Yarrowia lipolytica: one gene and its partner. The protein of the gene in region 1 interacts with the protein of each later gene in a biochemical or structural test. Links are inferred from orthologs where the notes say so. Each region holds a gene or a part of one and is shown on either strand. Other genes may lie near its edges.

Region 1 (3,346 bases):
AGTGATGCTTCGGGCCAATGCATACTGGTGACCGTATCCGTGGCTAGAATGGCCGCCAGAAGAGGTGGACATGACAGACTGTCTCAAGTCACTGGTAACACTCATCTGCGACTGTCGTAGAGAATCGACTGTGGGGAACACAGGAGGAGGAGCCAGAACCGCATCATCATCATCGTCGTCAATGACAATGGGATCAAATTCACTCACAGGTGTCTCTCGACGAGTCCACTCTGCTCGAGGGGTTCCTCGGGCTCCATGAGCACTTCCATACCGAGTAGGGGAGCCGAAACGGGTCGGAGATTCGGCTCGAGGAGTGCCATAGGGAGATCCATAGGCGCCTTGTCGTTCAGGAGATCGAGTAGGGGAGCCAGGGTTGGAGAAGGGGTTGGCATCAATGTGGAGCGACTGACGCTGGCTGACAAACGCCGGCGACGGTGGCTCGGGCAGGTCTCGAGGCTTGTTCGACATTTGAGAGTCGAATTGGTTGTTACCGGTAGCTAGTGCGCTCTGTACAAAGAGGCGATATTTCTCTTATGTACCAACATGTCGGTGGTGCTGGGTCTACATGGTGCTGGTGTACTGTATAGTGCGAGGTGACTGTTTGTTTATACGCAACCTTGTTTTGGCAAGCACGGTTGGCCAGGCAACGGCGCTCCCAATAATTTTAGGGGTTATGCAAGATCTCTTATTGTTTGTCGCATAATAACACCACACTCCAAATATAGCATCGCAATGCAAGGCGAAATGACTACTGGAGTGGTACGTACTGGTACTTATTGAACAGTTGAATACAGTATGTACCAATATATTTACACGGACAAGTGACCGTAAGAGTCGGGGTCGCGTTTAATGAAATCCTTTCTTTTGTATACAGTATGAAGAAGTACAGTATTTGCTCCGCATCCCAATTGACTCTACTGTAATGGCCTAAATCCTGTCGAAACGTGAGATATTATCTTGGTTGTGCGTACGGTAGGCAACTTGTGAGATGTTTTGGTTCCCGAGGCGAGGCAACGTGCTTGTTTGAACAAGCTACGAGCATAAACTGCACCGGTTAAAGCTTGCTAGCAACTTGTGGCTTATTCAGCACGCCGACTACGCAAAAAATATTGGCATTGCCATCACCCAGAATCGAACTGAGGTTTCCACGGCCACAACGTGGTGTACTAACCACTATACTATGATGGCGGACTTTTATTAATTTGGAATCCGTGATAACTGCTATCCAAAGAATGAAAAAAATTGCCGCCGAAAGCGTTTAACACGTCCTAATGTGTTTATATGATTTCCAGCTATTGGATTTTATACATAACAACCCGGTTAGTTACGTTTACTCCCTTTACGACGTACCTTATCGCCACACCTCAGCCTTCCCACCTAGATTTTCAAACTCAAACTTGAGGTCCATCCACCACCTACAGCACTTATCGAGAGGTATTAACCCAACAACCACCCACACAAATGGCTACCGTGGACTTTTTATCCAAGGCGCTAGAAATTGTGCGCAAGGCGATCGAGGCCGACAACGCAAGCAAGTACGAGGAGGCACACGAATTGTATGTCAACGGACTGGACTACTTCATCAAGGCAATCAAGTACGAGAAGAACCCCAAGTCCAAGGAGCTGCTGCGACAGCGAATCACAGAGTATTTTTCTCGGGCAGAGCAGCTGAAGGAACATCTCGACAAGCAAAAAAGCAAGCCTGCAGCCCAAGCGGCAAAACAGGGAGGAGGAGCCAACGGCGGGGCCGGATCTGGAGACGACGACAATGATACCAAGAAGCTGCGAGGAGCTTTGGCTGGAGCCATCCTTAATGAAAAGCCCAACGTTAAATGGGAAGATATTGCTGGTCTGGAGGCAGCCAAGCAAGCTCTAAAGGAGGCAGTCATCTTGCCCGTCAAATTCCCTTATCTCTTCACTGGCAAGCGAAAGCCCTTGTCTGGTATTCTGCTGTATGGACCCCCCGGTACCGGAAAGTCGTACCTGGCCAAGGCAGTGGCGACCGAAGCCAACTCCACCTTCTTTTCCGTTTCATCCTCCGACCTTGTGTCCAAGTGGATGGGTGAATCTGAACGACTGGTGAAGCAATTGTTTGCCATGGCCCGAGAGAACAAGCCCAGTATCATTTTCATCGATGAGGTCGACGCTCTGTGTGGACCTCGAGGAGAGGGAGAGAGTGAGGCGTCACGACGAATCAAAACAGAGCTGCTGGTCCAGATGAATGGAGTGGGTAACGACGCTAGTGGCGTTCTCGTTCTGGGTGCCACCAACATTCCCTGGCAGCTGGATGCCGCTATTCGACGACGTTTTGAGCGACGAATCTATATTGCCCTACCCGATGCCGAGGCCAGAGCCCGTATGTTTGAGATAAACGTCGGGAACACCCCTTGTGCACTGACTCAGAAGGATTTCCGAACTCTGGCTGAGATGACCGACGGATACTCGGGTCATGATGTGGCAGTGTCTGTCCGAGACGCCCTGATGCAACCAATCCGAAAAATCCAGGAAGCAACGCATTTCAAACCTGTGGAGATCGACGGCGTGACTAAGTATACCCCCTGTTCTCCTGGAGACCCCCAGGCAACCGAGCTCAACTGGATGGAACTGGAGGACGGAACAGTTCTGGAGCCCGAGCTGACTCTCAAGGACTTCATCAAGGCTGTAAAGTCCACTCGACCAACCGTCAACAACGACGACATTACTCGTCATGAAGACTTCACCAACGATTTTGGCCAGGAGGGTAATTAGCATCGGAGCAGCGAATAACTAACGTTTGTCACGCATATATTAAGTAGATAGTTAATGAGATGATATGACCAGATTGTGTTAGTGCGACTTGTAATCTACTACTTGTAGTACGTGGAGACTCAATTCATTATTAATGCTGCATTACTTTATGTTCTATAGACATGTCTATTCCTTGCCAGGCTATAACTCCTCCCTCAAAGAAGGCTCGATTCTGGTACAAATGTCGACGAATCGTTCAAGGTACTGTTCTCGAGTCTTTCGACCCGTCCAGAACATGCACCACTCGCTACCGGGGATCTTGAAACTGCCCTTCGACCGGTCAAAGTACCACTTGTTCACGGGGTTGTTCTTTCGAGATCGCCACAGCAGCTCGTTGGGGAACTGAGACATGACCATACCCTTGAAAACCACATCTGCTACCGACGAAGAGCCCTGGGACCGTTTCAGAACGGCAAACTTATCAAGATACGCCACTTGGTTGGGGTTAAGAGGCACGGCATCTCCCAGTTTCTGATACAGAGGCGGCGAAGGAAGGGGGATACCTGCTGCATAGGCCGCAGCTGCCTCGGCAGCTGCTCGATCGGCAGCATCTCGATCC
Region 2 (3,063 bases), about 1.6 Mb from region 1:
GCAGAGTCTAAATACCCGATTGCATCCCAGTGCATTAATTAATGTGCCATGATGTGGTCGAGGGGCGAGGCAGGGACTCTGGTGGGTTAGGTGAGCAGAACAGGAGGAGATCCTCGTGGGCACTTTGCACCGGTCCTTTATGTGTGTATGTGTATATACGTGCTTTGTCAGCGTCGGGACTCTTGACTAAGCTGGTTCCAACCCTTGATTAGGTTACCATGATCAAGGTTGAAAGATCTAAGATTGGAGATGGATGAGAACGAGTATGAGGACGAGTATGAGGACGAGTATGAGGACGAGTACAAGTAGGAGAGACAGATGGAGGGCGGATCTGACGGGAGAAACTGATTGTCACGCCTGAAATCACTTGGTTTTCGTCATTTCGAACTGTCCGAGCCCCGATCTAGTGGTGGCAGACCCTTTCATGCCCTGTCTGACATGCTGAGTCGGGTCTGTCGGTCATACGAGACAGTACAGTTGTCTACGTCAGTACGAGTACAAACGAGTGCTGATCGTGAATTGATGTAGTTTCTTCGTGCAATTAATGCAATTATTGTAGTTGCCTCGAGTACTGGTACTGTATTACTGTGTATGTACTGTTGTTGGGGACGTGGTAGCTTGGACAAGCATGCTTCTTCTCAGATCTGACAGTATAGTAACTGGATTGAGATTGATTGGCTATTTTTCTCAAGTGTCGACATTCTGAACATTGATAAGAAGTCGCTGTTCCATTCCATTCACCATAAAACTGCCATTGAGCTGCCGAGACATGTGAATACCTCATAACCACCGCCCTTCTACCGCCCTAGTATCGTACATACTCGTACACGGTACAAGGCTGTGGTAAGACTCGTGAACTCATATCACTGGTACACACTCCTCGGCTGCTTGAGGGTCAATGGTGTTTCATTTAGTCGGCCTGATGATCTCGACATGGACAATCCGTACATCGCTTGTTCTCTTTCAATTCAGTCTCCCCATTCCCACGGGCTAACTTCATGCAAACTCCAGTTAGTTGAACCCTCCAAGTAATAACCCAATACTAGACGACTTTCTTGATATAACCAAGTAATAACCCATCGTTAGACGGCTTTCTTGGTAGAACCAAGTGTTGACTCCACCCCTAGACTTTCTTGGCAGGCAAATGTCAAATAGCCGCTCTCCCGGAAAGTAAATCCCACACAAAACAACCGCTCAGGCGGTTTGAACGGTCGGCTCCTTCGCCACACTTGTTCGTCTACGCCACCCGACACTCCATCCATCGCCCCACCCAAAAATTAGATTCGAGGCCACCTCCCATCTGCATCACCATCGCCACTACCATACATACATCTCCACACCCCGGTTATCTTATCAACGACTTGCGACACTAACAACTACAACCAAGATGGCAACAGCATCCGTTCAGGTGAGCAGTATCTGAGGCGCACGTGACCACCCACCGCGTAAGCAGCTGACTAACACAGACCCGACTCAAGGTGCAATTGAAAATGGCGGTGAACCGTCTGCGACTAGTGCAACAGAAGGAGACGGCACTAGCTAAAGCCCAACGACGAGAAATGGCAGGGTTATTGGAAGCAGGCAAGGAGGCCAGTGCCCGGATCCGCGTGGAAAACATCATTCGAAACGACATCAGCGTCGAGCTGCTGGAGATTCTCGAATTGTACTGTGAACTGCTGCTGGCTCGAATCGGACTGCTGGACGCCAAGGAATGCGATCCTGGCCTGGAGGAGGCCGTGTGCACCGTCATCTATGCGGCTCCCCGTACGGAAATCAAAGAATTGCATACTATCAGAGACATTTTCGTCACCAAGTTTGGCCGCGACTTTGCGAAGGAGGCCCTGGAGAACCCCGACGTGAAAATCCCCGAAAAGGTCATGACCAAGCTGAGCGTACAGCCCCCCAGCGCCGAGCTCATCACCCTGTATCTCAGAGAGATAGCCCGCGCCTACAATGCTCCATTCAGTGAACTGTACACCAAGGAGGAGCTTGAGGAGATGGAACGACAGGAGAATGGTGGGGATGACGACGACGATGATGACGAACCCTCCAGCGGACTCAAGGAAAAGCTCCCTGAGGAACCTCTGCCCGCAACATCAGGTAATGAGGCTGTTCGTCGTTTGTCCGAGTCCCTGGAGCCTCCCAAGTCGCCCATCGCCATCTCGCCTCCTGCCCCCAGATCATCTAACCCCAAGCCCGAGCTCAAGCTGCCGTTTCAGAAGGACTCTCCCACCCGACCGCGTCCCAGACCCGCTGTTAAGAAGGATGATGAGTTTGACGCTCTTCAGAAGAGACTGGACGCCCTGAGAACGAAATAGTTGTACGATGGAAAGTGCGTTCGCATGATACATTGTGCATTGGTAATGAAATGTTATGGATTACGAATGTCTAGCTGTAGTAAACCGCTACGGTTATAAGCTGGACAAGGCTGAGGGCTCGGTTATTAGCCCTCTCATCTCGAAACCACCTATTCACTATAAACACTACCAATATATATAATGCCGCTGCTGGAAGGAGTCCGGCACGTCTAAACGCACTGGAAACCAAAGCCACAAACAGAGCCAATCGCTACGTAGACAAGACCCGCCACTCCAGTGCCCAACAGAGCGCCCATTTTGACGTTCTTCCACCACAAGTTTCTCTTGGCCTGGGTGCTTCGTTTGCGGAACGCCACGGCGTTGTTAGTCATTTCGTCGGTTCGGTTCACCAGCAACGATATTCGTTCTCCTCGCTCCAGAATCTGCTCCACGTTCTCCACCATGATATCTCTGACCTTGTTGATCTCCGACTGGGCCACCTTGGCCACGTCTTCGTATTTGCCCGAGTTGACAAGCGTCACCATTTCGCCCTCGAACTTGTTGAGGCTATCCTTGGAGGCGCTTCCGATTGTCTGCAAGCTGTACTGCTGGTTGAACTTCTTCTCCAGCTCCAGCAGACACAGGAAGGGGGCCTTTCGGCCGCACGACTCCTTGGTGATGAGGATAAACGTCACGCCCTCGGGCGTATCGGAAGTCGCCTGTGTGGTTATGTAGTGGATCGACAGATCCTGGTACATTAGAGAGG

Evidence for each region.
Region 2: the proteins of YALI1_B21323g (region 1) and YALI1_B05438g form a complex in vitro, tested with the Saccharomyces cerevisiae proteins (2 studies listed by BioGRID). The link is inferred for Yarrowia lipolytica from reciprocal best matches to the Saccharomyces cerevisiae genes VPS4 and IST1.

What each region holds. Positions count from the first base shown.
Region 1 is NC_090771.1:2,130,854-2,134,199, forward strand, and holds YALI1_B21323g (uncharacterized protein), read left to right. Parts: upstream 1-1,461; coding exon 1,462-2,748; downstream 2,749-3,346. Other genes in the region: YALI1_B21313g (uncharacterized protein), read right to left, coding at 1-468; YALI1_B21356g (uncharacterized protein), read right to left, coding at 2,929-3,346. UniProt on the Saccharomyces cerevisiae protein: Involved in the transport of biosynthetic membrane proteins from the prevacuolar/endosomal compartment to the vacuole. Required for multivesicular body (MVB) protein sorting.
Region 2 is NC_090771.1:542,289-545,351, reverse strand, and holds YALI1_B05438g (uncharacterized protein), read left to right. Parts: upstream 1-1,387; coding exon 1,388-1,408; intron 1,409-1,466; coding exon 1,467-2,318; downstream 2,319-3,063. Other genes in the region: YALI1_B05420g (uncharacterized protein), read right to left, coding at 2,528-3,063. UniProt on the Saccharomyces cerevisiae protein: Involved in a late step in sorting of cargo proteins of the multivesicular body (MVB) for incorporation into intralumenal vesicles. The lumenal sequestrated membrane proteins are targeted into the vacuole after fusion of the endosome with the vacuole.